Arabidopsis thaliana: one gene and its partners. The protein of the gene in region 3 purifies or fractionates together with the protein of the main gene of each other region. This does not show direct contact. Each region holds a gene or a part of one and is shown on either strand. Other genes may lie near its edges.

Region 1 (9,863 bases), about 14 Mb from region 3:
GGTAGTTTCGCTAAATTTTCTGTCAAACTGGTGGTAAGTCTTGCCGGAAAATCCCATAAGTTATCGTATGAAGTTAAGAGAGAAACAAGAATTTTTTTTGATGTAAATGAAGGAAATGGAGAATGAAAGAGTAAAAGATTAGGTTGTTGTTAAAGTAAGACTTGTTTGGAACGAGAGAGAATGTGAAGAGAATGAAACATGTGATTCAGAGAAGGGGATTGGTCTTATAGTCAACAGTGACTTCAAGACAATCGATCGTTCGATGTCGATTCAGTTCAGTTATTTTTTCCACGAATTTTTTTTTTCGAAAATTCGTATCTTAGTATTTATTTCCTTGGTTACATTAAAAGAACGTAACGAAGAGATAGTGACATTGAGTGTACATTGTATCTTTTATTAAATGTGAGAGAATATCCTTTTTTGTTTCTTTTCTCAAGCATAAAGAATGTAATCATGGTATTTAAAGCATATGTTTAATGTGAAAGAAATACAGTATTATGTACCCTAAATGGAACAACTTATTTTGATATACGTTCTTAAGTTATTTTTTGATACATAATTTAGTGGTGATGCCAATAGTTTTTGTTTTAGTCATACAAACTGAAAGGTGCTATAGTTTTTAAAGGGTGGTGCAAAAGATATCGATCGTAGTCAACTAAAAAGTGCCCTAACTAATGATTACGATAATCCGTTTTATATTGGTCGAAGTTAGGTGATTAAAATATGGTTTCTCTACAAGTATTTTGTTTGGACACTGCAAATAAAACCTTCATGCACATAAATTCTGGAACCATCTTCATTTTTTTCATAATTAATCTCTATCATATATAGTAGTATAGACCCCGAAGTAACTTAAATACCAATTATGTATTATAAATACGGATTGATAACATTTCATATCGAAACATTTCATACATTTTATATCTGTAATGTTACAACCAGTCTAAAGCCAAGGATTCTAGAAACTAGAAACAAATTTTACTAAAATTAATTGAGGGAAAACTCAAGAATGTGTGTGTGATCATTGAAGAAATGAAGAATGTGTGTTAGAGTGAGTGAATATTCAAAAGACTCAAATAGGTTTTTAATGAACAATAGGGAACCCGAGGAAACGCGTGACTCTAAGATATATGAATTTATTTTGCACTTATTACTTTTGATTAATTTTTATATTCTAACCCTTTTTTATATACTATTTTTTTCAGTGCAAGTAATGAATGAAGTAACGAGATGAGAGTCTAGTTTCAAAGTTTTGAATCTTTTTGGTCAATGTCGTCTCTATTTGTTGACCATATTATACGTTTGACTTTAACCCCATTTTTCTTTAATCTCATTCTTCTTCTTTGCTTCAATGGTTGACGAATTCTTACCGTAGAAGTTGCATCTAAATATACCAAAGATTAATACTGCGAAAATATGATAAAGAAGATTTTTTTTTTTTGTACTCTCTAGAAATTTGTAAACGATATTATTAGTGTTTGATTAAAGACTCCAATTTTTAACATAATGTCTATATCCACATAATGAATTTGTGTCTCTACTATATGTAGTGTTCCCGTCATATATGCATTTTTGCGATAGTCAATCGGATCTTTGTATTGCGGTTAATTGATCTGGTCTTTCTTGAGCGTACAAAATAAATAGAATTGTACGTATTATTAGAGATGGTTACATTTGGTTTACATTATTAGTTAAAGTTAACCAATAATGTAAACCAATAAAGTTAACCAATAATGTAAACCAAATGTAACTATCTCTAATACGTATGTTGACTATGATGTACTTCAAGACAAGTTCATCATCACTTAACGTAACTAACACTATATTAGTTAAGTTCAAGACTTATTGCCCATGATTCATTTGTAAACTATGAAGTAACATATCTCTGATTTTTTCCTCTTATGTTTGATAAATTAGTCATTATAATTAGTGTCTTGCCAAAAAGTACACTTCTATCTTATTAGCATTCTACATTACAAACTATTAATTTCACTACGTATAGCGGTATAGGGAGAAGATCAATAAGGCGATCACAATATTAGTTAAGTTCCGAGTCTTGCATTACCATTGTCCTATGAATCACAGAACAAGAGGACGCATATATATATAGTATTTATAAAAGACTAAGATAGTCACAGAACAAGAGGACGCATATATAATTGACAAATACTCAAAACATGTGAAAAGATAAGGGCTATTACGTCTTCATTAAGATCCCATAATCTTTATGATGAGAACTTAAGAGCCAAACTAGCTATGTAACAAAATATCAAGTTTGAAAGTAATAAACTGCTTGAATAAGCTTCAAGTTCACTACATGGTTTAGAAAGGTTTAAAATCTATTACTTTCAAACGCTTTTATTGTGTACCAATCAATCCAACAAAGTATGCAATCGTACTAATCAATCCAACAAAGTATACACTCACACCGGTAACATCAAAAATTCAAAAATTCAAAATTTCATGTTACCAATCAATCCAACAAAATATACAATCCCTGAGACCGAGTTATAATTTGTTGGAATGATTGGTACCAGTGAAATTGTGTTGTCGTGTGAACATCAACACATAGGAGGTAATATACGTAAATATGCTAGCAATCAAGCTAAGTATACAAAACACTTCATGTTGCAGTGTTCTATTGAAATTTTATATATCGAACTAGAATACTATCATGGAGAATGATCAAATGTTGCATATCTTCATATCCACGAAAAATGAGTACACAAACATTCGATCATACCCCATGACAGTTTTCTAGTTTATACTTGATAGTCCTCACGATTTCATGGTGGTGACACTACACAAACCCTAGATTCCCCTAAAGTTTTTGTGAAAAACGCATATGTTCGATTTTAGGTTTTACTTCTATCCTTGATTCATTACAAACCTATTTTTATACTAATTCGTCGTTAACCTAATAATTTTAACCTACGAAACCCAACCTATATGGGCCTGACTTTATGTAATGATCCAATGGGCCTTTCTTCTTCAATGATGACTTTCTTCATTGACTCTCCTTCTACTTTCGATGGTATTAAATTTGACGGAAAAAGTAAAACGATACCGTCTGGGTGAAAGGCAGAGCTCTTTGCTTCTGAATATTATTATTTTCTTAAATTCTTCCGTTTTTTTTTTTAATCCAACCACAAGGATCGATAACGAAATCATCAGATCGCCAGAAAAAAAAAAAAAATTGCGAAATGGAGAATCTGAGCTGCAGATCTGCGTCAATCTCCATCTAGATGTTGTTGCTACTTCTTCCTCTATAGAACCATAATTTCATCAGATCTCGCTGATTAATCATCCCCATTTGGATCTGATCGAAACTCTTAGGGAAGAACATGGCAGGAGCTGCCTCCGCGCTGTTTCTGCTTGATATCAAGGGACGCGTTCTCGTCTGGCGTGATTATCGTGGCGATGTCTCCGCTGCTCAAGCCGAGCGATTCTTCACTAAGCTCATCGAGAAAGAGGTTGTTCTGATCTTCCTCTTATCGCTAATTGGTCTTTGTTTATTGCTTGGTTACTGTAGAATTTTCAGAGAAACATAGAGTTAGCGAACGAACTTGTAGATTTGTGTTTGAAAGATTCGTCAATTGGAATTGAAACATTTCGAAGATAATGGATTCGTGTCCATTTTCATCTGCACTGGAAATGAATTTTGAAGATAATGGATTCGTATCAGTCTTTGTGATCTGATGCCGCTGAAATTTTTTGGAAGTAATGAACAAGTTTGATCATTGGTTAAATGTTTTGGATTAGAATTTGATTTGAATCTGTACTTTTGAAGCATTCTGGTTTAAATCAGAGTAATCATCGTTTTGTTTAATTGTTCAGGGTGATTCACAGTCAAATGATCCAGTTGCTTACGATAATGGGGTGACTTATATGTTTGTACAACATAGTAATGTATACTTGATGATAGCATCCAGGCAGAATTGTAATGCTGCCAGTCTTCTCTTCTTTCTTCACCGCGTTGTCGATGTAAGTATGGCTGGTCAATTCTTTAGTTTTTCTCTTAAGGTTCCATCTTTTTCCTGGATATTTGATGTAATGGCAATGGTATCTGTTATCTGGTTATAGGTTTTCAAGCATTACTTCGAGGAGTTAGAAGAGGAATCATTGAGGGATAACTTTGTGGTAGTGGTATGTTAAGCTTCTGTCATCGCTCTTTTAGTACTATTTCGCAATATATTTTTCTATTACTTGGGCAATCAAAAAGATCCTTAAAATTTTGGAAAAGTATTTGTCATTGTTAGATGCTGAAATTGATTTTTTGGTGCTGGCAGTATGAGCTACTTGACGAGATGATGGACTTTGGTTACCCTCAGTATACCGAAGCAAGAATTCTCAGTGAATTCATCAAGACTGATGCATATAGAATGGAAGTTACACAGAGACCTCCAATGGCTGTGACGAATGCTGTCTCCTGGAGGAGTGAGGGAATACAGTACAAGAAGAATGAAGTGAGTGCCATTGTTTTCGCAAGATAGGAATATGTTTCTGATGTTTCGGTTTGCAAATAATGACAACCTGCTTCTTTTTCCAGGTTTTCTTGGATGTTATTGAGAATGTAAATATTCTTGTCAACAGTAATGGGCAAATTGTCAGGTCTGATGTTGTTGGAGCGCTGAAGATGCGAACTTACTTGACGTATGTCAACACATCAAATTTACGATATAGTTCCTAATCAGCCAAAGCATGTTAAATCACGTCCCTTTTTGACTATTTTGCTCTTTGATCCATTCTATTGCAGTGGAATGCCAGAGTGTAAGTTAGGACTGAATGATAGAGTATTGCTGGAAGCGCAGGGACGAGCAACTAAGGGAAAAGCCATTGATTTGGAGGACATCAAATTTCATCAGTACGTCTTTAAGTTTTTATTATATTGAAACTTGGAAAGTCTTCACTGATCTTAACCCTTCTATTTTCTTTTTGTTCAAAAAGATTATATACTTGAGTTTTATGTATTCTCTTCTTCAACAACCATTTATTTAATGCAGGTGTGTTCGATTGGCCCGTTTTGAAAACGATAGGACGATATCTTTCATACCACCTGATGGGGCTTTTGATCTGATGACATATAGACTCAGCACTCAGGTTTGACATGTGGGATATAGCATCTACTGGAATTGTTCCACGTCTTCAACAAGTAAATATCATGATTTGTTTCTTTTATGTTCAGGTAAAGCCACTTATATGGGTGGAAGCACAAATAGAAAGTCATTCAAGAAGTCGTGTTGAGATGCTCATAAAAGCTAGAAGTCAGTTCAAGGAACGAAGGTAAATATATTCTATGGTATTTGTGCCACTTTCCTTTTCTGTCTTACTGTCATGCAAAGATCCTGATTGATCAGATTCTTTAAACCTTTGATCACGAACATTCTTTTTGTAGCACCGCAACGAACGTTGAGATTGAGTTGCCTGTACCAACCGATGCATCTAACCCCACCGTTAGGACATCTCTAGGGTCTGCCTCTTATGCTCCTGAAAAAGATGCGTTAGTCTGGAAAATCAAATCTTTCCCGGGGAACAAGGTATAACACTAACAAGGTTCAATAAACTCTTAAATTCAGTTGAAACAGTCAGCAATGTAGACTATGTAGTATCAATGCTAACCTTCAGAAAACCAATATAGGAGTACATGTTAAGGGCAGAGTTCCATCTTCCAAGTATCACTGCAGAGGAAGCAACTCCTGAGCGAAAGGCTCCTATCCGTGTCAAATTTGAGATCCCTTATTTCACTGTTTCAGGGATTCAGGTAAGCTTGTGCTTAATAATAAATGGTTACTGTCTCTTCCACAATGTCATATATATAATATATATGTTCTTTGGTGTGTAGGTTCGGTACCTAAAGATTATTGAGAAGAGTGGGTACCAAGCACTTCCATGGGTGAGATACATAACCATGGCTGGTGAGTACGAACTAAGACTCGTGTAATGCACATTTAGTTTCATCGTCTATGTCAATTGTGATTCCCACATCCCTCAAGGAATTGCCTGAATCAAAGAAGCAAAACGAAACAGGACAAAAGTAGAGGGAAAAGAAAACGTTTTGAAACATTTTAGCTGATCAAATTTTCCTTTAATTTGTTTTAGAAGCCATATTCTTGTGAATTTGTCTTTATGGTGATTCTATTTTATTTTACATGAGGCTCTCTGTAACCTTTCACGACATGGTTCATTATTTTCCTTTAGACTGCTACATTTCTGTCTATGTGTTCGTTCTGCGATCAAAATTGTTAAACGTTGAGGTTTTGGTTTTGTTTTTTGGGGCATTCGTCTATGTTTACATAGGTTTCTCTCGAGTTATGATCAAAATGAAACTACATAAACAAATTATGCTTCAATAGAGTGAGGTGAGAGAGCCTTACAATAGAGAGAACGTATATTTTGGTGTTTCTCATATTGTTTAACTGATATAGTATGGGCCGAAATGAAATAATCGTCAGGCCCATTAAAAAGCCCATAATCACCATACTTTCTCCTCCAATTCTGTTTCGAGCTTGGGAAGTGACAGTGAATTAGGGTTTTACTCAAAAAACCTTCTCGTTGTCGTTGTTTACTGCTCCGACGAGAAAATGGCGATGCGACATTTGAGCCGATCGAGAGACGTTACAAAGAGATCGACAAAGAAGTACATCGAAGAACCTCTGTACAATCGCCTCTTCAAAGATGGTGGTACAGAGGTCAAAGTTCGACAGCAGCTTAATCAGTTCCTCAAAGGCACTAAACACGTCTTCAAATGGGAGGTCGGCGATACGATCAAGAAACTCCGAAATCGCGGCCTCTATTACCCAGCTCTCAAGGTTTCATAAATCCAAATTGCATTTTCGATTCTCTAGGATTAGCTTCACAATAAGCATTTGCTTCAAATCTGTTGAATACATATAGAAATGTAGATTCTTAAGTGGTATTTTGATGCTCATTATGAACAATTTAGTAATTGTTGAATAATTTTTTCACTGTGTGATGATTGTGTCTTTAGATTTCATATTGTGGAGTTGTTTTTTTGGTTTGTAGCTATCTGAAGTTATGGAAGAGAGAGGTATGAACAAGACAGTGAGTGATCAAGCAATCCATCTTGATCTTGTTGCTAAAGCTCGTGAAATTACTGCTGGGGAGAATTATTTTGTTGATCTTCCGGAAACATCTAAGACGGAACTCACGTATGGGTCTCTTTTGAACTGTTACTGCAAGGAGTTGTTGACAGAGAAAGCGGAAGGTTTGCTGAATAAGATGAAAGAGCTCAACATTACTCCTAGTTCCATGTCTTATAACAGCCTCATGACTCTTTACACCAAGACAGGTGAGACTGAGAAAGTTCCGGCGATGATTCAAGAATTGAAGGCGGAGAATGTGATGCCGGATTCGTACACTTATAATGTCTGGATGAGGGCTTTGGCTGCTACTAATGATATTTCTGGTGTTGAGAGAGTCATTGAAGAGATGAATAGAGATGGTAGAGTTGCTCCGGATTGGACTACGTATAGCAATATGGCATCGATATATGTTGATGCTGGACTGTCTCAGAAAGCTGAGAAGGCTCTTCAGGAACTGGAGATGAAAAACACGCAACGGGATTTTACGGCATATCAGTTTCTTATTACTTTGTATGGACGTCTGGGGAAGCTGACTGAAGTTTACAGAATTTGGCGTTCGTTGAGGCTGGCTATTCCGAAAACCTCAAATGTAGCTTATCTAAACATGATACAAGTGCTGGTCAAGTTGAATGATTTACCTGGTGCAGAGACATTGTTCAAGGAATGGCAAGCTAACTGTTCTACTTATGACATCAGGATTGTGAATGTGTTGATTGGAGCTTATGCTCAAGAGGGTCTAATCCAGAAAGCAAATGAGCTCAAGGAGAAAGCTCCCAGAAGAGGTGGAAAGCTCAATGCTAAAACATGGGAGATCTTCATGGATTACTATGTAAAGAGCGGTGATATGGCTCGAGCACTCGAATGCATGTCAAAGGCAGTCTCCATCGGCAAAGGAGATGGTGGCAAGTGGCTACCGTCACCTGAAACAGTCAGAGCTTTGATGAGCTATTTCGAGCAAAAGAAAGATGTTAATGGAGCTGAGAATTTGTTGGAGATTTTAAAGAATGGAACAGACAACATAGGCGCAGAAATATTTGAACCATTGATAAGAACATATGCAGCAGCGGGAAAGAGTCACCCTGCTATGCGACGGCGCCTGAAGATGGAAAACGTGGAGGTTAATGAAGCGACAAAGAAGCTACTCGATGAAGTATCTCAGGATGTGTGAGGTCTGTTCCATCTCTTTCTCCTTCATTATTCACTTCAGACAAAGACATCATTAGTCGTGATAGGGTCACTTGCATTCTCACAGCTCTGTCTCTTATTGGTAATAAAAAAATAGGCTCTGAATCGGCAAAATCAATTGTATGGGTCTGTTTTACTTTCACCGTAGACTGTTTGTTCATGTTTTTGTGAATTGTTTTTGGTTTAGCTTGGATTTACAGTTGAGACAGCTCTCACAATGTAATCCCTTTTTTTGGAGATCTTATTTTGGTTCAAGACAGAAACAGTGTCAAGAATACGATATAATGCTCATCATTGTTAATGAGGAACAAATGTTTGCGTATTGTGTTCGAAAATGCACTAATTAAATCTGCGAAGAGCCGTTTTTCTGTTAAGTCCGTTAAAAGTGATTTGTCAAGAAATTCTGGGGAAAAAGATACCACAAAAAACTCATGGGCTCGGAAAAATTTGGAAATGGCTAAAACTTTCTATTATAGTTACATTTACCCGATTGAAGTTGACCAAGAACACCCTCTGAAATCTAAAAATGAACATTTACATAAACATAATTAAGAATAAGCTTCGTCTGGTCAGTTTTACAGGAATTAGTTTTAGTGTTTTCTTCTTCTATAGGCTCGATCATCTTATCAATGTAGCAAGCAACAAGCAGTTAGTTCCCATCTTCCTGAGCTCATCTACATCGTTCTGAAGAGTGTTGACTTGATGTGAATCTATGAACCCGTTGACACAAACACCATAATCTGACACAGCCGCGGTCAAAAACATTTTTAGCATCATAACATTTCTTTTCCTAATGCTAGTCCTTGCCCTCCTAAGATTGAAGGATGCATCCACAAGAGTCGCATAGCAAATTGCAACAGTTGGATTTCCGCTCTTGAATCTCGCAGAGTCTGTAATTGCCAATTTCGTCTTAGCCTCCAAGGCTCGGATCGTGCTGTGTGTGGCTCGTCTCGGGTTTGGCCCTTTCACCAGCGGTCGACACAAGGTTGGGTATGCGGTTTGAGCGCATAGGCTCGTGAAACGAGCTTCCGTGGCTTGGCTTGCCGCCAGGAGGATCACGATTGCGACAACAGTCGTGAGGTACATCTGGATTGTGTTGCGACTCGCCATTTTCGTAAAAAAGTTGGAAGGAATGATGGCGGGTAATCTTCTAATCATATTTCTCCTTCTAAATATAGAAACCTTTTTGTTGGTGTCTTAATTATTGGTAATGGGAGTTTTCTGATATTTTTTTTCATTGGTAATTATAAATTGATTAGTTGGAGGTTTAACTTATTTGTAGGAGAATCTACTCTCTGAACACTTTATACATATAAACAGAGCCGGCGCACAGATCAAGAGGCACACAAGCCCAAAAAGACTTATGGGCTGTTAATTTATTGTAATATTTGTTAATTTATAGAGAATTTGTTTTCATTGTTAAGTGTTTTGGATGTTATAAATTTTGTTGTTTTAGAATTGAACCATTAATATTTAGGAGAATTTTTTTTTTTGCAATAAATAACAAAGATAATATATGAACTCACAAATACAATCGATATCAATAAATTTAAAATTGTGTGAATAATGACATCA
Region 2 (9,693 bases), 4.9 Mb from region 3:
TTTACCTCGATTTTTTGCTTTTCATTTTTATTAAATCTCCGATTTTTGATTTTTGGGGGAAGAAGTAGAAGAAGAAGATGATTAAGTTGTGGATGATGACTTCTCTCCAACTCGCGGAGCTCTTCGTGAGCTCTATTGTGCATTTGCTTTATGGGTTTTATATATTTAGCTCCGCCGTTGCCGGAGATATCTCTCAGACGTTGAATGATTACTTGTTTAAGTCCAATGTCGCTTTCGGAGAAACCGGTCAAAATCAAACCAATGTTGAGGGTTTGCCTCCTATTGTATTGGTTCATGGCATCTTTGGATTTGGCAAAGGGGTAATGCAAAAACAAACCCCTCAAATTTGGTTCTTTTGATTATTTGATTGTGGTTTTGAGGTTTGATCTTATTGCTTTGATTGAGCAGAGATTAGGAGGCTTATCTTACTTTGGCGGTGCTGAGAAGAAAGATGAGAGGGTTCTTGTTCCTGATTTGGGTTCCTTAACAAGCATCTATGACAGGTATTGGATTCATTTTTTGCACCTCCTAGGATTTTGTTGTTTTGATCTAGATCTTGATATACCATGTGTGCATTGTGGTGATGATAACATTGGTTTCCAGGGCAAGGGAATTGTTCTATTATTTGAAAGGAGGGGTAGTTGATTTTGGCGAAGAGCATAGCGAGGCTTGTGGACATTCTCGGTTTGGAAGAAGATACGAACAAGGTTAGATTTTGATATGAATGCTCATTGGAAGAGACTACTAATATACCCCAAATGTTTCATGTTGAATGCAAGTCTGATTTTGGTATGTGTTTTAGGGCAATACCCTGAATGGGATGAGGATCATCCTATTCATTTTGTGGGGCATTCAGCGGGTGCGCAAGTTGTGCGTGTATTGCAGCAAATGCTTGCAGATCAGGTTTGTGTCGAATCCTTCTTTTAATGGAAGCATATCTTCTGGTTTAAAAGCTATGTTTGATGAATGATGCGAAACCATGATGTTTAGGCATTTGAAGGGTTTGAAGAAACGAATGAGAATTGGGTTCTGAGTGTGACATCGTTATCCGGGGCATTCAATGGAACTACCAGGACCTACTTAGATGGCATGCGGTTAGTTTTCATTCTGACATTTTCAATTCTTTTCGGTATTTACATGGATCTTTACAATTGATTGGAATGTTCCTGTTTCTTCATTTTGAAATAAGGTTTGATCTTTGAAGCAATTGTATGTTCCTGTATTAGAAAACCAAGATCTTTTATCCTAATTGTTGATTCTTATTGTTGCTGTTACAGGACAGATGATGGAGTGAGCATGAAACCGATATGTTTGTTGCAGCTGTGTCGTATAGGCGTGATAATGTACGATTGGTTGGACATTTCATGGCTAAAGACTTATTACAATTTCGGGTTCGATCACTTCAACATTTCTTGGAAGAAGACCGGTGTGAGAGGTCTCGTTGATTGCCTAATGGGAAACGCAGGTCCTTTTGCTTCTGGCGATTGGATCTTACCTGATCTCACAATCCAAGGCTCAACAAGTATTAACTCCAATCTCCAGACGTTCCCAAACACTTACTACTTCAGCTACGCGACTAAACGCACCCGCAGAGTCATGGGTATGACAATCCCTTCAGGTGTTCTTGGAATCCACCCGATGCTCTTCCTCCGCGTCTTTCAGATGAGCCAATGGAAATTCCCACAAGATGTCTCTCCTCCTTATAAAGGCTACAGGTACTCAAAAACACTCAAAAATTTAACATTGATTTTTGAAGCCCTTGCTGCATTGGTCTAAGAAAACATGTTTGAATGAAGGGATGAGGACTGGCAAGAGAACGACGGGGCATTGAACACAATATCAATGACACATCCGAGGCTACCTGTTGAGCATCCGAGCCGGTTCATAAGGAGCGATTCGGAATGTCAAACATTACAACCCGGGATCTGGTAAGTGAATCATATATGACCTAATGACGTTGATGGATTGAGAAAATCTGAATACCTTGTTGTTGCAGGTATTATAAGATAGTGGAAGCAGATCACATAATGTTCATAGTGAACAGAGAGAGAGCTGGTGTTCAGTTTGATCTGATATACGACAGCATCTTCCAACGTTGCAGGAAACATGTTTTTAGAAAGATTCCTCAGACTCTCCCCAATCAATCTCCTTCTTCTCCTCGTTCATCATCATCACCCAGAATAAACAACTTTGTACATTGATCACATGCAAAAAAAAAATGTTTTAGGGTTGTTACGTTGAGGGCTTAAGTTTTTGTTTAGGCTATTTACTACTAATACAGATTATTCATTGTTCTTCTTGTTCTCCTCTCGATTTGTTGTACTGTAAAATATATATCTTCCATTTTGAAAATTATAATATTTGTTAGTTCGTCATGTTGCTCTACTGCCTCATCAAAGTTATTTATATAGTGAACTCTTACAAAATTAGCGGACGTTTAAGGAAAACCATTATTGGTGTAGTCACCCAGACTGCATGCATTTTCCATCGGTAAACGAACTGAAAGAACCCCAAATAAAACTCGATGTTTAACAATTGTAACCCAATATATATATAACTGTCGTATATAGTTTTACAGAAAAAAAAAAAAAAAAAAGAGAACGCCATGAAACAATTCACAAGAAAATGGCTTCTAAAACAACCTTCACCGCAAATTCTATCAGCTAATATATTTCAATCTTTTTCCTTTTCTCATTGATCTTCCTCTGCTTTGTGTCGTTGACAATGGCTTAAATAATAGTAAAAACAAAAAAACGATCTCATTTTACATGAGTCTCAGTTCGTACTCACCAGCCATGGTTATATATCTCACCCATGGATGTGCCTGGTACCCACTCTTCTCAATGATCTTCAGGTATCGAACCTGCAATACCCATAATTAACACACATCAGGTTTGTTTGCCTTCAGATTTCAATGCAGTAATATAAAAAGAATGTGATCTATATGATAATAACGTATCATTGTGAGTAATACCAACCTGTATTCCTGAAACTATGAATTTTGGGATCTCAAATTTGACACGGATTGGAGCTTTTCGCTCAGGCGTTGCTTCCTCTGCGGCTATACTTGGAAGATGGAAATCTGCTTTCAATGTATGCTCCTACATTGTTTCAAAACTTAATGTAAGCATTCGACTTTACATGGTCAAGTGTTACATTAAACTATAAGAACTTACCTTGTTCCCATAGAAATATTGTATCTTCCAGACCAGTGCATCTTTCTCAGGAGCATATGCGGCCGACCCGAGAGATGTTCTTACATCGGGGTTATACGCATCAGTTGGTACAGGTAACTCAATCTCAACACTTGTTGCATAGCTGCAGAAAAAAGGAACTCTTATCAAAACGCGTTAAAGGATTCCAGTATTTCAGTATTTCAGGTAATGGTTAAACGTGTTAAGTAACATTTGTTACTTACCTTCTGTCCTTGAATTGGCTTCTAGCTTTTACTAGCATCTCAACACGACTTCTGGAATGCCTCTCTATATGCGCTTCCACCCATATAAGAGGCTTTACCTGAACAAGTATTATGCGAAAATAAGATATATCATGATATAATTCGTTTAAGAAGGGGACAAAACCATTTCTGCAATATTACACATTCTAAAACCTGAGTACTGAGTCTATACGTCATAAGATCAAAAGATCCATCAGGTGGTATGAATGATATTGTCCTGTCGTTCTCAAAACGGGCTAATCGAACACACCTACATTTTGAAGAAAGAGACGTGTAAAAACTCAAGTATTCAATAATTTTTCGAGTTAGTAAAAAAATTGGCCTCGATAGAGTGACTGTCAAAGAATGTTTAAAGTTGCAAGAGATTAACGTACTGATGAAATTTGATGTCCTCCAAATCAATGGCTTTTCCTTTTATTGCTCGTCCCTGTGCCTCCAACAATATTCTGTCATTCAAGCCTAGCTTACACTCTGGCATTCCACTGTAATAACATGGATAAAGAAGCAGAGAGTCAAAGAGGAGGGACTTTTGATTTTAAATGCGTTGGTTAACTAGGGACACTAGAGAACGCACCTCAAGTATGTTCGCATCTTCAAAGCTCCAACGACATCAGACCTGACAATTTGCCCATTACTGTTCACAAGGATATTTACACTCTCTATCACATCCAAGAAAACCTGGAAAACAAAACATCAGTCTGCAAACATTAGAAAACCTAAAACAATTGAAAAGTAAAATGTTGAGCACCTACTTCGTTTTTCTTAAACTTTAACCCCTCACTCCTCCATGAGACAGAATTAGTGACAGCCATTGGAGGTCTCTGTGTAACTTCCATTCTATATGCATCAGTCTTGATGAATTCACTAAGGATTCTTGCCTCAGTAAACTGAGGGTAACCAAAGTCCATCATCTCGTCAAGTAACTCATACTGCCAGTAACATAAGTAAATGTTTTTAGAAATAACTTTCGCCCACACATATCCACCTCATGCAAGAGGGAAAACAGTTATAAGAAGAGATGTGAGAAGCATTATCTTACCACTACCACAAAGTTATCTCTCAAAGATTCTTCCTCTAACTCCTCGAAGTAATGCTTGAAGACCTACGATCAGTATAAGACTGTAACATATGAAACAGTGCCGTTCTTTTTTCTTCAAATTCAGAAAACAGATGGAAATGCAAAAAACTGAATCACTAGGGATGCTTACATCGACTACACGATGCAAGAAGAAGAGAAGACTGGCAGCATTACAGTTCTGTCTGGACGCTATCATGAGGTAAATGTTACTATGCTGTACAAACATGTAGGTCACGCCATTATCATAAGCAACCGGATCATTTGACTGTGAATCACCCTGAACATATTAGACGAAAGTAAGCAAACCCGCAGAGAAAACACTAGTCATTTAGTCATAAGTATAACGATTCTGATCAAATTGAATCCTTTTAAGCACTGATCAAGCTTGTTCATTAGTTCCAAATGTTAAAACTTCACCTCTGTCTCGATGAGTTTGGTGAAGAAACGCTCAGCTTGAGCAGCGGTGACATCGCCACGGTAATCGCGCCACACGAGAACACGACCTTTGATATCGAGCAGAAACAGCGCTGAGGCCGCCCCTGCCATGTTCTTCTTCTTCTTCCCTCCTTGTTTTCTCAAGGATTTGCCGAATCAGATCGATCAAACAGACGGATTATTAATTCCAGAGAGATCTGAAGAATTTTACGCTTCGCCGGAGCTAAACGATCATTTGCTGCAGCTGAGTGGTGGTTCGTCGATAAAGTCACTTATTCACGACCTGACGAATTGGTTCTGACATAAAAAACGACGGGAGACTCGAGAAAGAAAGAAAAGTGCAGCTTATTAAATTGGGTTCAGCTTTGCATTATTCTGCGAAACGACATCGTATTACCAATCTTACTTGGTTTTTCTTTCTTTCTCTGTATTAGGGAAGCAATCTTACTTACGAAGATTTTAGATTAATTTTTATAAATCTTAAACTAATAATACCAAATTAAAAAAAAAAAATGAAAATTTGAATTGAATAACATCAGATTCTATATAATATTTTTAAATCACTAAAACTCTATATAAATCACAAACCAATAACACCCCTTAATTATTAACAAAGTACTAGCATTTTGACAAATGTTATACATTTCAACATAGATTTGTTTTTTAGTTAAGTCATAGGAGTTATTTTGTTAATTGATGATAGCTCCTCCTGGTTGTTCCCATTTTCATACATACAAATCCTCAACATAAGCAATAAAATCCCATATGATTTTCCAATCCAATAATGATTCTAACAGTTTGTTACACTTGAATTCACTTGCGCCATTCTCTATCAATTTCTTTTAAGTTCCACGCGAATGAAATAGTGCTTTTCAATATTTCATTACATTTGGCGAGAGAGAACATTACAATGAAATTGCAGTGTCAAAGTAAATCTTCTGTACATGTTTCAATCAAAACCTTTTTCTTTCTTTCTTCCTTCTCTTTGAGAGCAAACATCATAAATCCACAAAACAATCAAACTCACCCAAAAGACTTCCACGATTTGACTCAGCACACAGTACTTATGTTCAATTCTATTGATTCGATCTCGTGAGGCAGGGCAAAGCAACAAGCCAGATGATGTTTCATGTTCCTTTTTGGTCTGTGCCCTTTGATGTAATCTTAGACTTGAGTGCTAAGCTACTTATATCGTCGTCTCCTTCAAGATCACTGAAAGAAACATCATCCTCATTCACTGTAAACATTGGAGCCCAAGAATTAGCAGAATCTTCTTCTTCTGGCCAATCATCATCATCATCATCAACAACATCTTTAGATGTTTGGCTAAGGCTTGCACTATTTTTGTCGTTCTTCTGGATTGGTTTTTCCTCAATAACAGCTTTATCGATGAACTGAGCGTTTTCAAACCCGTGTTCAAAATCGCGATACATAATCGAAGGAGGTTCAAAAGCATATATTCTTGGAGAAAGAAACTCAGGAGGAGCATGGTTGTAGTAATTAGAAGTTGATGGTGTAATATCTTCTTCCTCAAGAATCATATCTCTACTTTCTTTTGAAGAATGTGTCTGATTCTGAAGCTCTTTCATCCACAATGCTCTAGCTTCCATCACCTGCAAAAGCAAAAGGATTTTGTTGAATAAACAACAGCAACAACAAAGAATCATTTTGACTCAAGAAGAGATTGAGATTCAGGTTTTTTTAACCTGTGGAGAAGACAAAAGATGAGCATCGTGTTTATTGAGCCTTGAAAGAAGAAGAACAAAATAGACTTTCCAGAAGTAACCAACACTCATATGACATGGACAAAGCTCTATTCTCAATGCAGCTAACCTCGGAGCAAGACGCTCAATAGCTAAAGCATGACCTCTTTGAGCATCACTCATTTCCAAATCTACATTAGATAAAAGTTGAAATAATCAAACTTTTGATATGCCTATAAGTCAAATCAATGAAGACTAATAGCGAAAGACTTGACTCAATGTATACGTTACCATCAAGATCTTCGTCAGGATCAAGAGGAAAATCCAACCAAGTTTCTGGATGCATTGCTATGTTCCTCGCAAATGCTAGCACTTCGTCTGTAAGAGCAACCGCAGCGATCTCTTCTTCTTCTTCTTCTTCTTCATCTGTTTCCTCTTCTTCTTCTTCCTCATCCTCCGGATCATTGCCTTCTGCCAATTTTTCTTCTAAATCCCAGCTCCTAAACCTAATTCCAGTCTCCGGCGTATCACTTCCAACACACGATTCGTCCCGATCTGAAGAACGCGATTGATTCAATCCAGGATCTGAAGACCGAGATTGGTTAAACCTGGGATGGTTCGATAGATCGGAGGAAGAAGAAGAAGATCCATCAGGTAACGGAGCGAGAAAGTTAGCCACACCACGAAATTGACGCGTGAGGGTATGACCAAGTTCCGTCAAATCATCTTTAACCCCACGCGCTTGAGCCTCCTCTTCCGGTGACAAACGAACGGCGTTTCTCGAGAAATCGTGTCTTTCCGTTGAGGCTTTCGGGGTTTTCTCGTCGTTGTTGTTGTCTTCGTCGTCGTCGGCGGCGTCATCGTCTCCGATTCCATCGTATAAGCTTTCCAAAAAATTCGAAAACATTATGATTGATTTCTTTTTTCTTTTCTTTTTCTCAATTAATCTATTGATCCATTTGGTTGACTCAAAAACTAAAACTATGCAAATTATTTTATCTTTTCCTAACAAACCCCATCCAAATTAAATATCATATACTTGTAATTTAGTTTTAAATTCCATATTTTTTGGTGGCAACTGTAATTGGATTATCTAACACCTATAAAATATATATTTTTATTTAGAAATGTAATTGGTTGATATTCAGTGAATTTAAATTATAGAAAATAAGAATATCGTAACATTAATGTAAAGGAATCCACTAAAATCGAAATAAATGTCATAAAAAACCTTAAATCGAATATGCAACATACATATTTAGATTTATCAACGTTTTTTAAAAAAATCTGCTTCGAAATGACAGAATCCATAAAAATTATTCAAGAGGGGGACAATTGGCGAAACAAAGCTCCTTAGCGTTGGGAAATTCTTTTTCTTTCCAACAACGAGCTTGTTTAGTTTTAAGTCGCAAGCAGCACCAACAATCATTTTTCAGTGAGAAACCACCGGAGCAAGTCTCATGCATACACGCTGGTAAAATGATTTTGCTCGATCTCCCTATCTCTTTCACCTCCATCTTCTCACCTACACATTGATTTGAACATACACACAAAACCAAATTTAACAATGGAAAGAAAAAGAGAAAAAAGGTAATTGATACGAGAAGAAACAAAATTATGTACGTACATTCATGCAGAGCAAAGAGGGAGAGCATGATTATACAGATTAAAGTTGTATGTGATGATTTCATGGTTTGAGTGTCTCAAACAATTGTGTTGTGAGTTTTATTTGTCTTCTCGAGTTGTTGTGGAATTATGTAAATACAAAAACTTTTAGAATATATAAACAAGTAGAGAAAATTAAATTAGGATACACCTTAAGTTTCTTTCAAGGAAAAAAACAAGATATAACCTTTTATTTCAGGATTTTTATCCATATTCAACGTCTCTGTTAAGTAATTCATAATTGTTATTGAATCTATTTTTTGTTAATGTATTAAATTTTATTTTGAGTGTGTTTACTTATTATGGAATGATCAAACTATTATTTATCAGGTCAAACCCAAAATAAGGTTATAATCTTATTTATAACTTAGAGCTGTCAAAACATATTGTAGAATCTTATCACCTTCTTAAACTCGTCTAGATAACTATACAGAATACAAACTGAAGTATTGAAATACAAAATTTAAAATATTGTAATAGAAGGATCTCGATTTTAGTATTAAAATCTTGTGTGCGAAAGGGAAATCAAAGATCTCTCGGCTAATTGCTTTTATGGACGAAAATAAAGTTAACTAGTAGACGAAAATTTTATTTTCTAATCTCAAAACACCTTTAAAATAATTAGAACATCTTTGAAATTTATTAAAATCCCATCTAATCTAAAAACCCCACCGAAACAAATTAAAATTCATACTCCAATAGATTTCCCCTCAAATCTTTCTTGTACATGTTTTCATACAAAGCTCTTTGGCGTCGGGAAAATCTTTTTCTAGCCAACACCAATCTTTTTTAGTTCCAGCTGCGAGACAACACCAACAATCATCTTTAAATGGGTGGATGCAATTGTTGTGAAAACACAATGGTATATAGATTTTGCTCGATCTCCCTATCGTGCTACCTACACATCGATCTGAAACACATAATTCAAAATTTTAATTACTATGGAAAGAAAAGAAAGAGACATTTGATATATCTGTGAGAAAAATTTATACTAACATTCATGCATGGAGAAGAAGGAGAGCATGATTATGCAGATTATAGCTATATGCGATTTCATGTTTTGGCTGTCTCAAAGGACTTTGTTATGAGTTTTTTTCTTGTTTTGTAGAATTGTTCTAGTTTGTAATACAAAACTTAATCAGTATATACTATTTATATATGGATATAGAGAAATTTTAATTAGGAAAGACCTCACTCGAGAGAATATACAGCTAGAAATTTCGGTTGATTTCCAAATATCTTATTTTCGATTCATTTCGGATATATCTAGTTTATAACCATATTCTCTAAATTCGAAACTGGAAGTTCTCGAATTTCACTGTTTGCAAATTATTAAACATATTCCCTAAAATCAA
Region 3 (12,391 bases):
GAACACTCCCTTTCTATATAAACATCTTAGTTGAGACGATTATTATTATCAAAACCACTTTTTTTTTTTTTTTTGTTAAAGATTATTATCAAAACCACTAGAACATATACTTTTAAAAGAAATTATAAAACTAATTAGAGAATGGCACTGGATGGTGTATTTAACTAGAGATTTTCACTGAATAATGAATGTCATTTACGTCGATGTGTTTTATTTCTTTCCCCAACGTTTACGATGTATTTACCCATGAAGCTTTCCATATATATATATGCATTAAATAAAACTTTAATATTATCGTTGTATTGACGATTGTAATAAAAGGGTTCAACTATTCCACGTTTTGTCAAATGGGTAATTAACTTAGATATGTGTGACTGTGATATGCAACTCTTCATTACATTACAACTCGAGAAAGTCAAGTAGAGATATTTGCAAGCTAAGGCTTGTTTAATGGAAAGGCTTGTACAAGCAACGTCATGTTACTAGAATATTATAATACATTTTTTTTATGAAGAGACAATGATATTTTAGTAATAGCTATTAGCCTATTATCTAAAACTTATTCGGCAACTAATCATGTGTAATCAAAGTAGCTATTCAGTTTAACATTAATATTTTTTTGTAGAAATTCCCTTAACTCCCAATTTGTATCCTTCAAATTCAAAACTATAAACACGTACGCATTTCCAAAACTACCACAAAATTTTAAATTAGTAAGAGTTGGTAAAAGTATAACAAAGTTAAAAAAAAAAATACATATTTCTGGAAAAGTTTGAAATTTACAAAAGTCATTCTTTTGTTTTGTCTTAATACAAAAATGACTGGGCAGATATTTATATCATGGTACTATTAGTCAAAACCACTTTGATTTTATGAATTTCGCATCAAGCCACATAATCATTTAAAATAATAAATGAATTTCTGTTTATGGTTTATCTTTATCTTTTATTTTTGGGACAAATATATGTTTAGAATGAAAATATGGAAAAGTGAAATTTATATCATGGTACTATTAGTCAAAACCACTTTGATTTTATGAATTTCGCATCAAGCCACATAATCATTTAAAATAATAAATGAATTTCTGTTTATGGTTTATCTCTATCTTTTATTTTTGGGACAAATATATGTTTAGAATGAAAATATGGAAAAGTGAAGTCGAAATATATAATTTTCTGTGGTGGGTTTTTAAGAAAATAGATTATGTTTAGAATGATGATTTATTGATCTGTTGTCTTCAAAATCATATCCAATAAAATCAAATGAACATCCACCATTTGGTAACATTAATAAATAACACATGTTCGAATGTCTCTATATCTGTACTTAACAGTTTCTAGCTATCAGAAAATTAGAATTCGCTTCAAATAAGAGATGTGTGTTGGTTGATCAACCAAAGACTTAATCCAATAACACATGCAAACTACGACATGATCCAAAATCCAATACTCCTTCTTTGCAAGACGAAAATTGTAACTGTAGTAGATACATCATGAGTTATGGTTATGGGTCATAAATCACATCTTTTTTATAGTCTCAGAGACATGAGAGACAAATTCTACTTCTTGACCACTTTCCGATTCCAAACATCAAAACTTTTGTACAAAAAGAAAACCCAAGAACCTCAAATCACAAGCAAAGGCCAAAGTACTACTTGTTTCATAAAACGGATGAAAAAATTGGAAGGAGAAAGCTGCATCAACGGCTTGGGCAAGACTTGTCTTTCTTTTTTAGTTGGGTTTGATAGAAAGAAACACTCAAGTCCTTATGCTGAAAATACAATGGCTGATCGATGAGTTTCACAACCCGCGAGGGAAGTTGCTGACTTGTCCTTCCTCTAATACATCTTTTCCGTTCAGTTTGTACCCAATCCTCATGCGCATCACAAGAGATTTCTGCAATAAACATTAAACCCTTAGTGTTATGTTAAGTCACTGAATCCACAGGCTCAGCCTATCTTTATTTGAGCATAGATTATGTTGTGGATCATCAAGTGCTATTCATCAATGCTGAGCACGGAATGTTGAAGACATAAAGTTAGATAGAAAGACGAACAGAGAATGTGCCATACCTTCCCCTGCTGGCTGTTAGTGACTCTTAGATTCTGCGTGATGGCACCACTACCGCTTGCCAGGAGTGTGTTACTGCTAGCTGGATCCAAGTGCAGCTGGAGGAACTGGAAGTTACACAAAAGAAAGAGAAGGTTAAAGAAAAAATTGAAATCTATTTACTGCTTTATCAATTGGGAAAGATGAATAAAGGGGAAAAAAGCAAAAAAAGAAGATAGATGTAATTACCTTTGGAACAGCAGCCTGGAATATAAAATCTGTGAAAGTATTGGGAGATAAATTAGTAAAAGTAGCCTGGACATTTGTCGTTTGCAGATTCCCTGGTGTCTTTGAGAAGGTGAACTCAATCTTCAAGGAGCTGCTCTCGTATGCAACAATAGGTGCATAAGCTGGACCATTGGTGGCTGCAATAAGGAGGAAAACTTGTTATTGACCTTTGTAAAAGAGTTTCAATGATTATACAGATCTTTTTCAGGTTAAGACTTTTTCCTACCTTCCTTCGATGGGCTTGGAGAAAGACCATCTAGCAAATCAAACATACCGGTGGACGAAGTTGTTGCTACGTGAGGTGGAGCTGGTGAAGAAAGTGTGTCTAGCGCAATTGAGGGATTATTGTTAACGTCAGCTATTGATAATAAACCAATAGATGATGTGCTGTTTTGTGCAGGAGAAGGTGTTCCAATTGATAGAATATCCAGCAACAGATCTGTGCCAGCTTTTGGAGCCTGGGTTGCACCTGAATCATTGGATAAAAAATGGAAGACCAAACATGAGTTATCCTTTTGCAAGGCAATGAGGAAAATGATTTTTTTAAAAACTTGTTCATTCAGAGACACATAGCAGATGAGCACGCCATAATATGAACGCAAGAGCTGTAGAACCGCCAAAGAACTAACCATATTGTGCTGACGATGAACCTAAGTCTACACCGAGAAGATCCTGAAGGAAATCTGTACCAGATGGACTAGGTGCAGCCATGATATCGTCAGAATCTAGGTCTAGCAAGTCCACAAGAGGAGCGACAGGAAGTTTCTCAACACCATTTTGAAGGCTAACTGAAGGCTTGGCCATGGTTGAAACTGATGCAGGAAAAGAGCCGGCCCTCCTCACATTGAAAGTAGCCTCATCCAGTACCGGCATTCTGTCAACCAGAGAAGACCTGTATGCACACATACCTCTATCATGAGCTTTGAGGGAGAGAGAATATGAAAAACTTACACTAGAAGATAGATGAGGAAGAGAGGCACAAGGGATTCCACCTGATATTTTTATGCCTGTCAACTATAGAATTGTATTCAATAGCTCTCTGCTGCATTTCAAGGAGAAGGCTTCCTTTCTGCTTCACAATTATGTCTTTAATTCTCCTGTCATTGAATTTTAGAAAACTTTTTAATTATCAATAGAGAGTTGAGGACAGGATGTACATGTATAATATATTTCTAATCTTTTTTCAGAAGGCAACGCGCTACAGTTTCTTGTAGACAGACCAAAATTTATTATTCATATACTAGTGCGCATATGCATCTTGTGTAGAGTTGAAAAGGGATAAGTGCAGATATCAGATGAACGAGTTGAGATAAAAACAGATAGCACAACGAGGTCAGACATACTCTGAAATAGAAGGAAAGCGGGATGACAACTTCAGTAGAGCAACCAATGCCATTGCTTTTGTAGTCGAATCTGAGTTATGGCGAGTAATGGCATCCTCGATAACGTCCACTGCATCAGATTCCGTTACCTGCTCAAGGCAGTCACATACTCGTTGCATATTTTTCAAAGCAAAAATGAAATCCCAAGAAGCAAAAGCATCTGCATATTTATCATGGAGCAAATAATGAATTAAGATTGCCATTGTGATGCTCACCGTTATTGGATCTTCAATACCAAGCATCCCCACATTGTTAACCAACAGATCACCATATTCCCCAATGCACCATACCGCCACTCGGACAAGGGTCTCCTGGTTATCATCTCAACGAAACCATATTAGAAAGGGTTACAACTGATTGAGGACTGAGCACAATCTAACATTAGAAAATAGCTACCTGTTCCGAATAAGTCAAGACTGATTTGTACAAGGCCCTAACTGTATATCCATGAAGCTCTGATGCATTGCTTATGACAACAATAAGTGCATGCCACACATCATCTTTCACAAACTTTCCAGCCTACTAACATGGAATAGATGACAATAGGTTATGACAGATACAAACAATGCATTTGAAATTAGCTTAAGCAGATATAAACTCTCAAACGATTTCAAAGAGTGCAATTAACTGGTAACACGTTACAGAGCATATTCTCGCGTTTGAATCCATACCTCACACAGAACCTTGAGCATCTGATCAATGTACCATAGTTTTTCTGGAGAAAACCTACATTATCAAAAAATTTAAAAAGTCAACAAAAACTTCAATCAACTAGACATTCACAGTAACTTTCCAATCATCCTGACCCCCAACTTTCTCAGAGTAAGTAGTCATTCTATTTCTTAAATAGAATACTTACTTTTCAACGATAAAACAAATTTTTGCACTAAGATCTTCCTTAAAATCTTCGTCGCTGATTTCCAAATAATCAATTAGCTCCTTTGTCAGTTGTGTGACATTGTTTTCATTCACCAAAAGAGTGACAAGCTCAAGAGCTCTTTTCCGGATAGAAGCATCTGGGTCCTATATTGTTATGGAAGCAGAAACCAAATTAGCATTTTTTATTTCTCTAAGATATACTTAGCAGTTAACATTGTATAAAATATTTTCCTGGTAATACTAATACCTTCACACATTCCAAAATTGTAACTCTGTGCCTTTGCACTGCTTGATCATCGAAAGTGATAGCTTTCATCAGCATGTTTAATGCAACATATCTGAGAGAACGAAAGTATGAATTTCATAAGGGAATGCAGCGTTTTTGAGAGAAACGAAATCAAGATTAGAAAAGGCAACGCTGGTTGGTCAGAAGAGCATTGTGTGCTTCATAGAGTTAAGCACATCCAAAGAAAGATGATAGACAGAAGAAAAATACAAGTAAGCTAGTTCCATTACAAACATATATAATACCATACTATTATCAAATAAAATTGAGGTGTAGGGGGTTGAACCTGATGTTATTGTCGCGGTTAGATAAGAATCTTCCCAAGATATTGATAGCAAGCACACGCAAGCTATTGGTGTCTTCAATGGCCATGATTGTTTCAACACACTCATAGAGTACCGCATTCCCTGCGTTTTTGTTTGATTCAGTTTTTGTTGCCACCTACAATAGCATGAAACCAACGAGAATAAATATCAAAGAACCAGGATAACAAAGTATCCGACAGTAGATCCCTGACTTTGAACTCAAAAGATTTCCAAAACAAAGCATGTAACAGACGCAGGATGCATTCATCATGGTGAGATAGAAAAGGATTGGCGCAGCCTACAGATTTATATGTCCGTCCACAAATCAACACTTACTATGACAACAAAGACCGGTATCAAAAGAGGGAGAATTCAAGTACGGCAAAAACTCAGTAACCAATAAGTCTTCTATCTACCAAAGAGAATAATAGCCCATGAACCCTATCAACGAAATGAAATTCTTTCTCCATTATGCTATATTTAACAGAATCAGTTCCAGCACATGAGAGAGCATAGCTATCTTACAACATTTTTCCGAAAAAATATATGTAAGGTAACTGGAACAAAAACCATAAACCGTTGATGTTTAACAAAGGAATTACATCGCAAATGTGAAGATGGTCAACCATATCCAGAATCACTTGCTAAACTATGACTAACCTGTGCAAGTATATCTGTCATCAAATCACTAGCATCAGCATCACCCTGGCCTAAAACACGCAAGAGCCTGAGCAACCGTATGTGGAGAAAAGGGTCTGTGATCCCTGCAACATCATACTCAGGCTGATATGCGCTATTAGTAATATCCCTCAAAGTTTTTATCAGTCCCTCTGTGCATTTCTGCAGAGACAAAACAAAGACAAGGGTTTGTCAAAACTGACGGTCTGATAAAACAATATAACAACCTGATTGTCTGCCTCATTTCAGCAGAGTAATCTATTTATAAGTGAATACCACAGATATCAAACTTTATTGCAAGAGAAAAATAGTACACAAAAGCATCATACAGGTAATATAGTATCATATGTACGCATATTCAATTAAATTACGTCGATGCTCCTGTATGCATAAGTAGAGTGTTCTGTATAATATTTATAGACTTACCGTTCTGAAGTACTCTAGGGCTTCATCATTAATCGTGCATAATTCATAACAAAGTTGAACTCCTGTTATAAGAACCCCATGATGCTTTTCTTTAAGCAAGGAAGCAGCAGCATTTACGAAGTTTTCTGCTAGATCTGGAACTTTCCTTATTATTCTAGTAGAGCAAAGCGCCGCCTGCATATAATACAACATAAATGGTAAAGGCAATGAAGGAAAAAAAAAAAGCGACTAAACTCCAGGAGACCCTGTATATGAATTAGAAAACACTTCACCTTCTTTCGGATATTAGGGTCACGAAACTGGATTAATCTTTCTACTTCTGGCGCAAGATCACGGGCCATTTCTGCTGAACAAATATTCCCTAAAGCACAGAGAGCAAGTCCTACAACATACTGGTTCGAGTGATTAAGATCTCTGCACGTGACTTAAGGTTAAACAGGAACAAATCTATTTAAATATTTTTCTCCTTAATTCCCATAACAGCAATGCAATCAAAAATCAAGTGTTCTCTAGTATTTTTTAACATAGAAGAAGAATCCATTCAAAGGCCAAGGTATCAAGATTTAATACTAGAAATTAGTAAGGATACTGTTTTAACGAATTTGTGACAAGCATCAACACTTCTTGTCTCTCATCAAGAAGCAACATTAGCCCTAGATATCCAATCCTCTTCTCTGGAAATCCAGGAGATGCAATTAGCTTCAAGCACTCCATCTGCCCAAAGTGTGTGGGATAACCCAGCATGTGTATAAACATGAGTTTCGCAAGGTTCCGGTGCCGATCATGCGGGTCATCTTCATTAATCAATGCTCGAATATCGGCACACTCCTTTCTTACAACAGCTCGCTCCTCCGCAGCTGTTTTGCATGCTCTTATGGCACGGATCATGTCCCTGAATCATACTCATATGTCCACTATAACTTCAGAACCATATACAATAATCCGATCTGATTCCACTATTAAACCCCAACAGCAACATGACCAATCCAATATTCAATTAAATTAAGCAAAAGGATTACCAAAAATCCTTAGTGTGATCATGTTCTTAGACTAAAATCAAAATTCTAAATGGAATCAGAAACACCAATACCAAATTCATCTTCGAAACAGGCCAATCAACAAAATTCAATCCTCAAATGAAAACGAGCTCAATTACATCATGTTATATTCAAATTTCATTTGTAAGCTGATCAACGACTAAGAAACCTGAAACAGAAACGATAAAAAGGAAAGAAGAGAATCAATTTACCTTAAACGAGTACCAGAAGAAAAGGGATTCATGATTTGGGGTGTTCAAGAGTTGGACCTTGGTCCACCGGCAACTTTACGAGGAATCTGAAGAAAATGAAAACTTAGCCGGGAAGAAGAGTTTCGCCGCCGGGATTGTGAAAATCCGTTACCGGAGTTTCGAGTAGCTGATCAATACGAGAGAGAGAGATGAAAATGAAACTGAGGATTTGGATCTCGATGGACGATGCTCGTTTTTTTCTTCTCAGTCTTCGTAAACCATAATTGCCAAATTAAATGCGTTGTATAAACATGACTTCCATTTCCACCTAAACGGTAACGTTTCGACCAGCAATCCTCTCAAAACAAAAACATAGACTGGGCCGTTTCTTTATAGTTAAACACATAAATGGGCCCTACTTGGGCCGTTTTTATTAGTCAAATTTGAGAGGGTCGATGATACGCGCTCTTTCATTGGTTGTTACACAAATTCTCCCCTACACTTGAACACATCATAGTATCGCTCAGGCCCTAGTATCTTTTTAAAACCTTTAAAGATGCTAAGCAGCAAAAATAAGTAACACAACACAAGTTACACAGAACAGTCGCTTTCTCCTCTCGATTTTGACATGGCTTGGGGATTTTCGTCCGTGTCTCTCTTCTTGTTCGTCGTTTTCAATCTGGGTATATTTTCAAAAATCTGTTAATTCAGTTGAATTTCCCAACCCAAAATTCGAATTTTTAATTTTCCTCATGATTTTGTTACAGTGAGTGGTAAGATAGTTTTAGAAGAAGGGTACGAAGTCACAACGGTGGTCGATGGCCATAAGTCTGGTCTGAATCCATACACGATTCATGCTTTACCAGGATCTTCTAATCTGATCGTCCTTGATTCTTCCGGCAGTACATTTTACACTACTTCCTTTCCTTTGTCCGTTGGTAAACACCCACAAAACCACTCTTTTGTCTCATCTATTAATCGGATCATTATAATTGTGTTTGTATATGAGTTGTAAATTCATGGATGCATAAGTAAATGTTTAGAGCTTGTTGATTTTGATTGCAAGTCTTGACCTTCATTTTTTCTTTCTCCGTAATCTCAAATTGGACCACAATACTAATATGTGTGTGTATGTGTGTGAAACGATCAACCTGCAAATAAAAGTTCTAAACTTTACTATAAGTGAAAATTTTGTTTATCTTTCTTTCAATTGAAGTTTGAGCTCACTTTGAGTATGTGTGTGTGGTTGTGCAGATAGTGTGATAAACCGGTTTGCTGGGGATGGGAGTTCGGGTCATGTAGATGGTAAAGCTGGTAACAGCCGGTTCAGCAAACCCCGTGGTTTTGCTGTGGATGCTAAAGGGAATGTTTATGTTGCTGATAAGAGTAATAAAGCTATACGGAAGATCAGCTCTTCAGGTGTTTGTTTAATCCATTTCTTGTATTCCTTTTGTATAAATGCTAGTTGTTGTTGTTGTCTAATCTTAGTTTGTTGAAAGAGCCACTTAGTTTATTTTGATTATGCATGTTTTATTTACTGGACTTTGTAGGTTCTGTAACCACCATTGCTGGAGGGATCTCAAAGGCATTTGGACACAGAGATGGACCTGCACAGAATGCTACTTTCTCTAGCGATTTCGAGATAACTTTTGTTCCTCAAAGATGTTGTTTGCTTGTTTCTGATCATGGAAATGAAATGATTCGCCAGATAAATCTTAAGGAGGAGGATTGCCTCGAAAACTCTCATTCTAGTATGTCTTTTCTATAAGTAATCTTTTGTGGATTTGACTAACCATGCCTTTGGAAACTTCAACGATTCTTCTTTCACTGTTTCAGATTTGGGGACATACTCTCTTTGGTCAATAGGGATTGTCCTTTCCTGCATTCTCGGGGTAGCCATTGGATTTGCTGTTCGCCCTTACGTCATCCGTCATGTAAGTTTTTTTTAATCTATCCTCATATTACATACTAGTGTATAATCAACATATCAAATCTCTTAAACCAAATCGTTATAGACAGGAAGAAGTGAACCACCTCTCGTTCATCATGACATGGAAGCTTCTCCTAACCAAATTGGGGGAACAAGTTCTGACCTTCTTCTCCTACATTAGAAACCGAGTTGCTGAATCAACCGTTTATTCAGTATTAAGTAGACTAGTTATGATGATCGTGTCTCACCTTTCCCTCATGTATTCCGCCCTAAGTAGTTTAATTTGTTCGATGGTATCTAGCCTTTTCTTCATGTGTCAACCCAATAATGTAGCTATTTTAGACAAAACAGTCTCTGTGTCTGATCCCGAGAGTCCAGGTTGCGGCAACCCAAAGCCGCCCCTTTCACTGAAACCCTCTGATGATCTTATTGACCTAATAAGCTTTGATGATGAACAAGAACCTAACAATGACAAAGATTGCAGGAATGAAGAGACTCTTCCTCATGCAACCATAGATGACATTATAAAGGTTCATGTTGAAGAATTTTCAAAGATGGCTGAAGAAGATACTGTAATTCATGGTTCTTCATCTACTGAGTAGGTTTCAGTTAAAAGCACATGAATCAGAGAGTATGTGTCTTTTGTAAATGTAAAGTTTGGTTGAGTTGAAAAATCTTTGAATATTTATTGAAGTGCTCATCTTTTTTTCTTTATATCAAGGAAGAATGATTAATCTTTGGTACTTTTCTTACAAGAGAGATCTAAATACCCAAATCCCTATTGTGCCTTCTCAACAAATTTTAAAAAACTATACCTGAATTCCCAATCTCTACTACTACTATCATATTAAGCAACTTCTCATGTCTATGAATAGTATCCATATGGGTAACTCACAAATTGGTGAGCTCTGTGGTGGATATTCTGATGAGTATTCATCTGGTCTTGCTCCTGGCCTGGCCCAAACACAATCTCATTAGTCTTCTCGCTGCTCTGCTCATAAAGAGTGTATGGGATTGTTGAGTGATGCCTATGGTGATACTGCTGATGCTTCTCTTGTTGCTGCTCCTGGAGGAATTCGGCGTCCAAGCTTCTGTACAAGGCACGGCTTTGGCGCAGCTGTTGCATTTTCTCTGTTGCATCTTTGGACATGAAAGGATAAATTTTTCCAGGAGTGGCGTTCCTGGACTCGACGGGAGGTGGTTCATCTTTGTTGTGTATTACAAAGCTTTCTTGAATTGGCCATGAAGTTGTGCTAAAAGCAGAATGCTTTGTTTCTTGATGGTTGAAGTTCAAGCCGACTGTCTGCTTCTTTCTGAGACCGGGAAACATTCCACTGAACAGCTCCACAGAAAACACCCAAGCATTTGAAATGAATATCTGCAACGTTCCAAGGAAGCTTTCTTCTTGTTTTTCTTGCTCGTCTCCAGTTAGAATTAGCGGTGGTCTGACCGGTTTTATAGGATCTTGATCAGGCACAGCTTCAAACACTTCTTGATCCTATAACATATACACAACAGGAAGAAATGTTGGTTATAACTCAATTATAGGGTAGCATAAGAGAATGATGTTACAATGCGAATGTACACTCACAGTATGATATGAAACGATAGAACTGAGTCTACGTTGCAACAAGGCCAGCATATAGCCAAAGAAAACTGCCGCTACAAGAACTGCAATCCCTGCAATATTAAAGCATTGAATCAGAGATACATTAAAGAGTAATTGAGATAGAGATGACTGAAGAATGCAAGAGGGGACCCAAACGGAAAACTTTGGTATGTAAATATTACCCAGAGGAAAGCCACTTCCATACTGATCAGCACAGTCGTCAAAATGGAGTTGAATCTCTCTGATGGCTTGGTTTCCTCGGTCAATGACTAGCAAGGAACAACTGCTCCCGAGATAAACAACATCAAAATCATTTGAAAACTTTGCATCTTCACTTGGACCATCCACATGACCTCCCCCACGAACCATTTTCCCCCCAGCAATGGTTGTGACTCCTGCCATTGCATTTTTATTCTTTCTTAAATCCGATACTTACCAAACATTTGTCCAAAAGGCAAAACCATAAAACCGCAGAAAAAATCACCTGCTTCACTGATCTTCCTGATAGCATTATTCACAGTATCTGCAACATAGATATTTCCTCTATCATCAACTGTGAGTCCCTTAGGATTGTTCAACCTCGCGTCCCTTAATCTACCGTCCACATGACCCGGATATCCTTCAGGGGAGCCAGTAACTAGCCTGGGTCTGCTATCTGCCATTGCTCAAAGAGTTACAATTTGCTGTTCAAGAATTCATCAACTATACATACACAGTCCACAATCAAAATGCAAAAGGTGTTTAATGTTAAATGCTGCATTTAAAACATTGATTTGAATTCTTGACTACTTTCATTGAATCCAAATTCTCAAACAAAAGAAAAACGTCAGAAAATCTCCTGATTTTCAAATAACTTTTACCTAAAATCTGTGTATTTCCATATACAGCAAAACTTTATAGTCCATGTGAACTATCACGTGAAAGCAGAGAAAAAGAAAAAAGCTTGACTTCATCATCATCCGTATTCAAAATCCTTAAGAAAATCAGCAAATATTGAAATCCACCAAGTCTGACGCAAAATCAATAGTACAATAGAATACTTACAAAGGGAAAGAGAAGATGAAATCTGGTAAATGTTACTATTCTGAGAATCCAGAATAAGCAATTCGCCATTGGATAAGACCTGAATAGAATAAGGTTCGATACCGAGTTTGCTTCCGTCTAACACCGTTTCCACTGAATACCCATTTTCGAATTTCACCATCGATTTCGTAGGAACAGCTGATTAGCATCAAACAGAAAAGGAAATCAAAAACCCAGAATCAAACTGTTACAACCCTAAATCCGTGAAGAGAGGAAAAATTATCAAAGGAACCTGTTTTAGTGGTGGTT

The links.
Region 1: the proteins of GAMMA-ADAPTIN 1 (region 3) and HAP13 purify together in Arabidopsis thaliana (affinity purification with western blotting; 2 studies listed by BioGRID, with this or other methods). This does not show direct contact.
Region 2: the proteins of GAMMA-ADAPTIN 1 (region 3) and AT1G10730 purify together in Arabidopsis thaliana (affinity purification with western blotting; 2 studies listed by BioGRID, with this or other methods). This does not show direct contact.

Annotation. Positions count from the first base shown.
Region 1 is NC_003070.9:22,365,367-22,375,229, reverse strand, and holds HAP13 (Clathrin adaptor complexes medium subunit family protein), read left to right. Parts: upstream 1-3,006; 5' UTR 3,007-3,344; coding exon 3,345-3,473; intron 3,474-3,837; coding exon 3,838-3,984; intron 3,985-4,083; coding exon 4,084-4,146; intron 4,147-4,289; coding exon 4,290-4,466; intron 4,467-4,549; coding exon 4,550-4,653; intron 4,654-4,756; coding exon 4,757-4,864; intron 4,865-5,003; coding exon 5,004-5,100; intron 5,101-5,185; coding exon 5,186-5,283; intron 5,284-5,395; coding exon 5,396-5,537; intron 5,538-5,638; coding exon 5,639-5,761; intron 5,762-5,842; coding exon 5,843-5,941; 3' UTR 5,942-6,277; downstream 6,278-9,863. Other genes in the region: AT1G60783 (cyclin-dependent kinase inhibitor SMR2-like protein), read right to left, coding at 1-57; AT1G60770 (Tetratricopeptide repeat (TPR)-like superfamily protein), read left to right, coding at 6,582-6,809, 7,024-8,271; AT1G60760 (Plant invertase/pectin methylesterase inhibitor superfamily protein), read right to left, coding at 8,907-9,398. UniProt on the Arabidopsis thaliana protein: Subunit of clathrin-associated adaptor protein complex 1 that plays a role in protein sorting at the trans-Golgi network and early endosomes (TGN/EE).
Region 2 is NC_003070.9:3,560,851-3,570,543, reverse strand, and holds AT1G10730 (Clathrin adaptor complexes medium subunit family protein), read right to left. Parts: upstream 5,288-9,693; 5' UTR 5,082-5,287; coding exon 4,953-5,081; intron 4,813-4,952; coding exon 4,666-4,812; intron 4,560-4,665; coding exon 4,497-4,559; intron 4,387-4,496; coding exon 4,210-4,386; intron 4,136-4,209; coding exon 4,032-4,135; intron 3,940-4,031; coding exon 3,832-3,939; intron 3,708-3,831; coding exon 3,611-3,707; intron 3,517-3,610; coding exon 3,419-3,516; intron 3,319-3,418; coding exon 3,177-3,318; intron 3,102-3,176; coding exon 2,979-3,101; intron 2,864-2,978; coding exon 2,765-2,863; 3' UTR 2,438-2,764; downstream 1-2,437. Other genes in the region: AT1G10740 (alpha/beta-Hydrolases superfamily protein), read left to right, coding at 78-320, 409-503, 604-707, 803-903, 991-1,094, 1,278-1,715, 1,797-1,928, 1,997-2,201; AT1G10720 (BSD domain-containing protein), read right to left, coding at 6,098-6,583, 6,677-6,864, 6,965-7,580; AT1G10717 (EMBRYO SURROUNDING FACTOR-like protein), read right to left, coding at 7,990-8,198, 8,301-8,364; AT1G10715 (EMBRYO SURROUNDING FACTOR-like protein), read right to left, coding at 9,049-9,248, 9,335-9,395. UniProt on the Arabidopsis thaliana protein: Subunit of clathrin-associated adaptor protein complex 1 that plays a role in protein sorting at the trans-Golgi network and early endosomes (TGN/EE).
Region 3 is NC_003070.9:8,436,561-8,448,951, reverse strand, and holds GAMMA-ADAPTIN 1 (gamma-adaptin 1), read right to left. Parts: upstream 7,874-12,391; 5' UTR 7,574-7,873; coding exon 7,542-7,573; intron 7,499-7,541; exon of another isoform or gene 7,185-7,498; coding exon 6,882-7,184; intron 6,707-6,881; coding exon 6,565-6,706; intron 6,467-6,564; coding exon 6,293-6,466; intron 6,029-6,292; coding exon 5,849-6,028; intron 5,325-5,848; coding exon 5,170-5,324; intron 4,936-5,169; coding exon 4,845-4,935; intron 4,742-4,844; coding exon 4,578-4,741; intron 4,445-4,577; coding exon 4,390-4,444; intron 4,238-4,389; coding exon 4,115-4,237; intron 4,030-4,114; coding exon 3,934-4,029; intron 3,808-3,933; coding exon 3,680-3,807; intron 3,434-3,679; coding exon 3,329-3,433; intron 3,229-3,328; coding exon 2,966-3,228; intron 2,806-2,965; coding exon 2,563-2,805; intron 2,474-2,562; coding exon 2,298-2,473; intron 2,177-2,297; coding exon 2,072-2,176; intron 1,896-2,071; coding exon 1,800-1,895; 3' UTR 1,271-1,799; downstream 1-1,270. Other genes in the region: AT1G23890 (NHL domain-containing protein), read left to right, coding at 8,149-8,203, 8,288-8,458, 8,775-8,939, 9,071-9,271, 9,357-9,454, 9,540-10,052; AT1G23880 (NHL domain-containing protein), read right to left, coding at 10,316-10,948, 11,042-11,130, 11,242-11,454, 11,544-11,714, 12,104-12,280, 12,375-12,391. UniProt on the Arabidopsis thaliana protein: Subunit of clathrin-associated adaptor protein complex 1 that plays a role in protein sorting at the trans-Golgi network and early endosomes (TGN/EE).